Neurospora crassa OR74A: one gene and its partner. The protein of the gene in region 1 interacts with the protein of each later gene in a pairwise test. Links are inferred from orthologs where the notes say so. Each region holds a gene or a part of one and is shown in the gene's direction. Other genes may lie near its edges.

Evidence for each region.
Region 2: the proteins of stk-4 (region 1) and gnb-1 interact in binary tests that used the Saccharomyces cerevisiae proteins (3 or more experiments, as listed by UniProt). The link is inferred for Neurospora crassa OR74A from reciprocal best matches to the Saccharomyces cerevisiae genes STE20 and STE4.

What each region holds. Positions count from the first base shown.
Region 1 is NC_026506.1:2,078,784-2,083,106, reverse strand, and holds the start of stk-4 (serine/threonine-protein kinase ste-20, variant 1), read left to right. Parts: upstream 1-1,496; 5' UTR 1,497-1,520; intron 1,521-1,627; exon of another isoform or gene 1,628-1,704; 5' UTR 1,705-2,287; coding exon 2,288-3,355; intron 3,356-3,415; coding exon 3,416-4,323. Other genes in the region: NCU03895 (hypothetical protein), read right to left, coding at 252-523, 893-932, 1,283-1,369. UniProt on the Saccharomyces cerevisiae protein: MAP4K component of the MAPK pathway required for the mating pheromone response, haploid invasive growth and diploid pseudohyphal development. Links the pheromone response G-protein beta gamma subunits to downstream signaling components.
Region 2 is NC_026503.1:3,863,001-3,867,249, forward strand, and holds the start of gnb-1 (guanine nucleotide-binding protein beta subunit), read left to right. Parts: upstream 1-1,440; 5' UTR 1,441-2,283; coding exon 2,284-2,410; intron 2,411-2,516; coding exon 2,517-3,235; intron 3,236-3,315; coding exon 3,316-3,525; intron 3,526-3,592; coding exon 3,593-3,613; 3' UTR 3,614-4,249. UniProt on the Saccharomyces cerevisiae protein: Implicated in the a- and alpha-factor response pathway. The beta and gamma chains of the putative yeast mating response pathway G protein play a positive role in initiation of the mating response.

The sequences.
Region 1 (4,323 bases):
GCCGGGCCACAGAGGCAAGAAAAACGAGTGGACGCCAAACGCCAGGGAATGGGACGCGGAAATCCAAGGACCAAGACGGGCGTTTCGACTCCGCCCGTTTGGCCATATCTACCCCACAAGCCCGGGGCATTTAATCACGGTTGCCGAGAAGCTGCCCCGTATCTGATACGTACCGAGGGGCTAAATCTTGGCTGATGAGCGTGATGGCGATGTGTCGATACGAAATGGTTTCCCGTTTTCAAAAAGTTCAATTATGCGAATACATAGCACGGTCCTATCGCGCCGAGCTTGAACACGCGAGGAGCATGAGCACCTCCCACCTCACTGTGCGCAGGAGGAGGGGTTGTCCCGGCCGTGATTGACGCGGGCAAGCAGAGATTGCGGCTGTGTTGTATGTAGATAGAGGTACTGTACTGACTGTCGAACAGAGACCACAGAACACCGCAGAGGTTGCACGCAGACTCGTTCTCCAAGATGCCAGGCCAGATCAGGATCGGAACCTGGAATGCCCTCGAGTTGACGTCTACATTGGAATCGAATCAAGCTGACGGCGTCAAGCAAGGTCCAGAGCGGGTGTTGGAAGCAACCTCGACGACATGATGCCAAAGTCAAGAGGAAACGAGGGGAAAAGGTTGAAGAGGTGGTGGCGCCCTGGTCCCTGTCAGTCTCCCGTGCAGAGTGTCCCCGCCATCGCCGTTCCGTTGCCGCCGGCGGTTGAACAAAAAAGTGGGCAGGTGAACTGATGGAACTTGAAGCCTCTCACAGGCGCCTTTTCGTGGTGTTGTAGTGGTAGCAGTGGCAGCAGTGGTCGAAAGTGGCTCTCTTCAACTGCAATGGCACTGCACCAGGCAGTCTAGGTAGTCCCACTCTCCCGTCCCCCACCCGTCCCCACCTGCCCTGTCTGGCAGAGGGGACGGGACTGAGATGTAGAACTAGAGGTAGGTAGTGTAGTGTAGTGTAGACTTCAGTTGCTTCCCAGAAGGCCGGACACACTCCCGCTGTCTGTCTAGAAGCCGAAAAGTGCATGTGCTGCCCTCTTGTTGTGCGGTGCAGTGTGCAGATGCAGCAAGCAACAGCCGCCCGACAGCAGTCACGAAGCATTCGAAGGGAATAGGTAGACCTAAGACCGACACAACCTCAATCATAGTATGCTTCCCTGAACTTTGCGTCCGGGCTTCCTTGTCTCCAATTCTCATTTGGCATCTGCAGGCCGAGTGTCCCCGCCCCGCCCGCCGTCCGACCGTCAGCAACACCGGACGACAGCCAGACAACTTCAGACGACAGCAGCAGTAGCAGCCCAGCAGTAGCAGCCCAGCAGTAGCAGGAGCAGCAGCAGCATCGCCGCGCATAGCCGACACCCGTCCGCCATCTTGGGTTCACTCATTTGAGCCCGGCCAACAATAAGTCGATAACGAGTTTGACGAGATTCGTAAAATTCGACAACCCACAAACTGTCAACGGCCACACATCGACACCGACTCGTACAAAGTTGGACCACCATTGGACACACCCTGCCCAAAGCAAGCAATCCCCCGCGCCGCCCAACCAGTCACCCACTTTATCCAAGTCATCCAATCCCTCTCCAGTCTGCGCACTTGTAGCACCAGCACCATACTGCTTGGACTATGCCCGACCTTGCCCTGCTCAATCATCAATTGGGTGCCGTCCACAAGCTAACGTCTGCTCACCACTCTCAAAAGGTAGCCGGACCCTGACCTTCTGATAAGCATACTAAAAAGCTTCGAGATCCATCAAAAATAAATCGTCATTCAAATAGTCTAGAGAAAACAAGCGGAAAAGTGAAAAGCGCCAGCCTAGTCCGAGTTCCCACACAGCAGTAACAACAGAAAGCATCACCCCTTCTTCAACGTACCCAGTCCCCGCCAAACCCAGCATCGCCGGCGGTCCGGGGTCTGTCTTTTTTTCCTACCTTGTACCTTCAACTTGTACACAATCCCACCACAAACCAAAGCGCAATTTTCGACCGGCATCAAGCTTCCAGGATCCCGTCCCCCTTCAATTGTCGACTTTTTTGCTCTTGTCCGTTCTGTGTCTGTGATTCTGGCCTGCCAACTTATCCCGCCCGCCTCAATAACTGCTGCCACCCCCCCAATTCCCGTCTCTTCTCCCAAGTCTCGCCTTCTTTTGGTTGACCCGGCCCCCAGCCAAACCGTCCGCCAGTACCGTACGTTGAACATCTTCCTTGTCTTTTCTTATTCTTAGTTACCCCATCTCGTAGCCCTCGTGCCCTTCCCTACGCTAGGGTTGGGTTTCTCTCGCAGTGACCATGGACGGCCAGCTCTCCCTCCTCTCGCCCACCTCGTCCTCCTCCACTTCGCATAGTCGCAAAAGACTCACAAAGAAGCAACGCCCGCCATCCGCAAATCACCGCACTAGCTCCTCTTTCAATGTCGAATCGCTCCGTATTGACGCCCAATCTCTAGACAGCAAACGGAGCGCCTCCAGCCTGCGCCAGGGCCCCAACTGCAACCAAAGCCCATCTCTGGCCAGGACCGTATCCGTCCCAGTCTCCGTCCCTTCAAACGCGCCCGCCCACACCAAAGCCAGCGACCTCTCTCTGCCACGCTCCCACACCACTCGCTCTCAATCCGCAAATCGCCCTTACAATCCGACGCAGACAATACCAACCAACCGCTTTATCCTCTCGCCGGCCTCATCGTCGCAACCCCAAACTCAATCGCCGCCTTATCCCAGCGCTGTTGCCAGCACCACCGTTACTAGCTCCAGGAACAAGGACACATCCAAGCAGTACGACCCACTAGACTCCTGCATTGGATCCTTCGATCAAAACAAATTATCCACGGATGAACTGATTGGCGCTCCATTCGACGGCAACGCCATTCTCAGTCGAATCGAGGCAACAAAATTATCAGCCGCGCCCGCGCCCACGTCCACGACCACGATTGCGCACTCCAACAACATTTCTCCTCGTCGTGTCGCTCCTCCTCCTCCTCCTCCCCCGCCTGCTCTATCGCGCTCAAACACGGACTCCAAGGCTGCGAGATCTTCAAAACCGTCAAAGTCGCCCAAATCCACCATATCAAACAAGACCATGGGCGCATCTTCATTCCGCCACTCGGCGAGTTTCTCGTCGGCTGAACAACTTCCGCCAAGCGAAAAGCCGTCCAAGTCAGAGAGCAGCTCTTCGAGTAACAAGAGACACTCCGGTGATGGTAAAGAGTCCAGGGTGCCCGGTATGCTAAGGAAGAAGTCGGGCTTCTCCGGCTTCATGAACAGCTTAGTTGGGTCTCCGAAAAAGCCATTGATTTCGGCGCCAGAGAACCCCGTTCACGTCACACACGTCGGATATGATAGCAATACTGGCCAGTTCACGGTATGTTGCCATGCCATGTCAACTAGTCTGAATGTTATGGATGGACTAATACGTTGATAGGGTTTGCCAAAAGAGTGGCAGCGTTTGATAAGCGAGAGTGGAATCACTGAGAAGGACAGAAGAGAACACCCACAAATACTGGTCGATGTCCTCACATTTTACAAGGAGACAACCGAGAAGCCACAGGAAGATCAACAGCTAGAGAAGTTCCACGATGCACGAGCGACAGATTTTCGCAGCCCGCCCGTGACCGGCACCGCTCCGCTCGTACTGCAAACAGGCGTTGGCTACGCTCATGGTCCCATGTCGCCAATGATTAGTCCACCCGCTAGTCCTAGGTTTCCTCAAGTTGGTCATGAGGGCAGCTTTGAGAACCCCCGTGCGCCGCCGCCGGTTCCCAAGGGCCCTGGCCCTCTTCCAGCAAAGGATATCAACTTGATCCCCAGCAGACCGGCACCGAAGCCACCAGCAATATCCACACGACCGCTGGTGCCGCCAGCCTCATTGCCAGCCAAGGATTCAGGAATTGGCATGCCACCGCCCGGTGATGAGGCTCCGATGCCGTACCTCCCTCCCAAGGATAATGTCCAGCATATGTACCAGGAGGAGCACAGGAACAGGTCCAGATCGAATTCCCGGACAAACGGCGCTGCCCCGTTCTCTCCCGTGCAGGCGTCCCCACTGCATCCGATCGCCACGGCGAACCAGACTGCGGCTTATCAGCAGCAATTGTTGCAACACCAGCAAGAACAGGCCATGGCCCAAGCCCAGGCAGCAATGAGCGGTCAACTGAGCCGAGCTGCAAGCAAGAGACAACAACCAACTCCGCCCACCTCACAACACCAACACCCCCGGCAGCCAGACATCAATGGGGCTCCTCGTATGCCACAGACTCAGGGGGCGGCTCCCCAAGCTAGCGCGAGACCCCGTCACAGACCGCGGCAAAGTAACGCGATTGATGTCGTGGC
Region 2 (4,249 bases), on another chromosome or scaffold:
CGAATTCGTTGTAGCTCCGTGAGGCAAGGGAAAATCTCAGCGTGGCCGTGGTGGTATTGTATCGAAGTGGGTTTACTAATCAAAGCGATTGAATGATACCGTGCGAGCGTGGGTGCCTGAAATTTGTAAAGTCTGGTTGATTTCAATCGAGTTCATTGCGCGAGCGAACATTTACGACCCCAAGTCCGTCCGGTGGAGCCAGTCCGTGCACATGCATTTGCGTGGGCCGTCTCCGCTCTCCATCGGCGCAAAGTGCAATTCGTCCGCGGGGCCTTGCTGTCCGCCCGCTTACACGTCCCAAGACCAGGGCACTCACTGCAAAGAAGCAGGGTGACCAAGTCCACAGAGAACCCACAGTCTCTTTAGCTTCCACCTCCTGGCTTTTCTTGGTGGAGGTCTCGTCAGTCGGCGGGATATTCTTTGCATCCACTCTGCGAGAAGTCGACATGCGCCCATCAACCACGGGGGAGGAGCTGCACCCGAGGAATGGGGCGCAACGGAGCCTTCAATTTCAGAGATCCATGACTCCGGTGCCTTCGGCCAGGCTTGTTGAAGAGCTTGGCAAGATTTAACTCGTTTTCTTTCTTCCTGTTCCATCGGGGGTGCGGTGCGGTGCAGTCCGGTGCGGCGTGGCTAGTGCGAGGTGTCCATGTCCGCCGTTGAAATGTTGAAGATCAGAATCAGAGGGCAAGAAGTCGAAATAACTGCCCCAGCTTCAAGGTTCACAAATCCCTTTACTCCCTTCTCAAAAGTCCCGTCTTGTTCCATCATCCAAGCCCTTCGGCCCGCCATCCAGCCCGCTGTCCGCCGACCGGGCTCTCCTGTGTTATGGATAAAAAATCGTGAATTGGGCGATCTCTGGGGGTGGCAGGGCCTTCATACCCAAGATGGCAGCTTGTACAAGAAATAACAAGTTTGATCATTCTCAAACAGAAGATTTCTGTAAAACCACTAGCGCCTTGGCTGTACCGCGCTGCTCTTTTACTACTATGTATGTACTATGTAGGTGTAAACTAGGTATATTCATGCAGACGTGTGTAGTGTAGTGTGCTCGCTCCATTGGGGAGGTTTGCTGCACGCATCATCCATCCCGTCCATTGCCTGGGAGACCCGACTGGACACCAACGAACCTGGAAAAACCGAATCCGTTCCTCTGTACCTAGTTGTACACCACAACCTCAATCTGCACTCGCTTCCGCTTCCATTGACACCCGGCTCTTGGGGCTTTTCACTTCCACACTGCTTCACAGGACGACGCTTGACACGGCCTCCATTCCTTCCACCTGCCCCCAAGCGTAGACGTACCCGGACACTAGTACAGGCTAGGTAGTACAGGTAGACCCAGTGCAGGCCTCCCGTCACTCTGTGAGGAGGTTCCGCTCTGCCCCTACAGTAGAGTACAGTAGCCCAGTGCAGTGCACGCAGCGACCCAGCAAAGGCTCCATCGTGCTACCCCCCGACCGGGCCCCTCCCCCCGGGCCCATACCCAATCTGGCACCAGGTAATAATCGCAAGGAAGAGGAACTCTGGCCAGCCTCTTCGTTCGCCAGTTCGATTCGGCCGCCCGCCCACTCGCAGAAGCGAAATCGATCCCCAGTCCTTCTTTTTCCCCTTCTTTCTGTTCTTCACCACCGAACTCCTGTCGATTAGCGACAGCCTCTCCAACTTGCTTTTACGACCTGACAGTCACTCGCGTCGGTCGCGTCGCTCGAGACTCTCTTGTCCATCACTGCCCTGCCACCCTCTCTCGAAAGCTGACGCCACGCACGCCTGCCTTTAGTCTCCATACTCTAGGTTGTCAGGGTCGCTCTTCGCCTGGTCAATATCCGCCATCCACTCATTCGTTCGACAAGAGTCTGTCCGTGGACAAGCAAGAGGCTTTTCCCCCCCAATCCCTCTCCACCACTCTCCTCATTTTTTCCAACAGCAGTCATTTCGTTCAGAGCAGGATCGGGACCTGCCTCGCCTGCCTAGCTGTTTGAATTGGCCCACCACCGCATCGCCCGACCCCTGGAGCTAGCAATTCCTCCTCCACCGGCGCCCCGTACCAGCACCACTGCTTTGCACCATTCTCAACATCCACACTCCAGCAACCGACTCCGACTTGCTGCATCTCTGAAGATCCGACGTCCCTAGAGTCCAACCTTTGTCATCGTCATTCTCCCTGTCTCAACCAGTCACAACAACATCACTTCGGAGTAGTCCGTCCCTCATACGAGTTCGTCGCCAATTGTGATTACGAATTGAACCAACACACCTCAAGAAAAAAAAAAAAAGAGAAAGATGGACTCCCGATCAAGCGATGTGTCGCCAGAGGCGATGCAGGCACGAATTCAACAAGCGCGTCGCGAGGCCGAGAATCTCAAGGACAGAATCAGGCTGAAGAAGGAAGGGCTCGCCGATACTTCCCGTGAGTCCCCTTGTCGGCAGGTCGCGAACTGCGCCGTTGTCCGCCCATGCATGCCGTCGTCAACGGCGGATTGACCGCTGCATAGTGTTGCTGACATGATGTGTAGTCTACGAGGTCGCGCAACAGGCCCATGAGCCACTTCCGAAGAACAACATGATGAAAACAAAGAAGACGCTGAAGGGCCATCTGGCCAAGATTTATGCGATGCACTGGTCTACCGACCGGAGGCATCTTGTCTCAGCATCTCAGGACGGCAAGCTCATCATCTGGGACGCTTATACGACCAACAAAGTTCACGCCATTCCCCTACGATCGTCTTGGGTTATGACTTGCGCCTATGCCCCGAGCGGCAACTTCGTTGCCTGCGGTGGTCTTGACAACATTTGCTCTATTTACAACCTGAACTCGAACCGTGATGGCCCAACTCGTGTCTACCGGGAGCTTTCAGGTCATGCGGGCTATCTCTCTTGCTGCCGTTTCATCAACGACCGCAGCATCCTCACCTCCTCCGGCGATATGACATGCATGAAGTGGGATATCGAGACAGGAACAAAGGTTGTTGAGTTCGCCGACCATTTGGGCGACGTCATGAGCATCAGCTTGAACCCCACAAACCAGAATACCTTTGTGTCAGGTGCTTGCGATTCTTTCGCTAAGCTTTGGGATATCCGCGCTGGCAAGGCCGTACAAACATTCGCTGGCCACGAGTCCGATATCAACGCCATCCAGTTTTTCCCCGATGGCCACTCTTTCGTAACGGGTTCCGATGACGCTACTTGCAGACTTTTCGATATCCGCGCAGACAGAGAGTTGAACTGCTATCGCGTGAGTAACCTGTGGATTATTCTCCTCTCGGTTCTTGATTTTTTTTTCTCTTGGTGGCTTTAGAGCTAACATTTGGGTAGTCCGAATCTATTCTTTGCGGCATTACCTCTGTCGCGACATCAGTCTCTGGACGTTTGCTCTTTGCCGGTTACGATGACTTTGAATGCAAGGTCTGGGATCTTACTCGCGCTGAAAAGGTTGGCTCTCTCGTCGGTCATGAAAACCGTGTCAGCTGTCTGGGCGTTTCCAACGATGGAATAAGTTTGTGCACAGGCTCTTGGGACTCCTTGGTAAGTTTCTACCCGCAACATCAGATCGATATGGTACAGGCCGCAGATTAGACTAACTCCCTCACAGCTCAAGGTCTGGGCATATTAGGCGCATGTGTGATACTGATACGACCGGCACCCTCTGGATACCCGACCACGACGCGTCACTTTGCCAAGCCTATCGAGTGCTTTTTTCTATTTGTTCTATTCAACCTGGTAACGCCTCTTGATCCTTGCGATTTGGCGTAGACAGGACGAAGTCACGACATATTTTTCGACCCAACAATCTCGGCTCCCCGGGCTTGGACCATCATCAACTGGCCTTGCTCCCCGGTTGGAATCCTTTTTAGCTTCTATAGCGGTTTTTCCGATACTCCACTCGATTTGCTGCGTCATATTTTCAGCGGGTTCAGTTCGCAAGGTGGGCGGCAGCGATATCCTGGCTTTGTTCAGCTCTCCGTACGCCAACCCGCCTCTCCCCTCCAGAAAACGTCCCCCCGGATAATATGATCCGACACGTTCATCAACTTCGGGTCGCGTAATTCCCCGGGCATTATTACAGGGACGTCTGTACCAGGTTTTTTGGACCCGGTTTGGCTGGAGCAGAACGTCCAATAATCATCAAGGTCTGGCTCGACGGGTCGTATCATATTCCACATGAGTGGTTGCCAGTGTCTCTCACAGGGGTTGTGTCTTGAACCAGTTTACCGGATACCCTCTCTATACGTATTTATCCACATCTTTG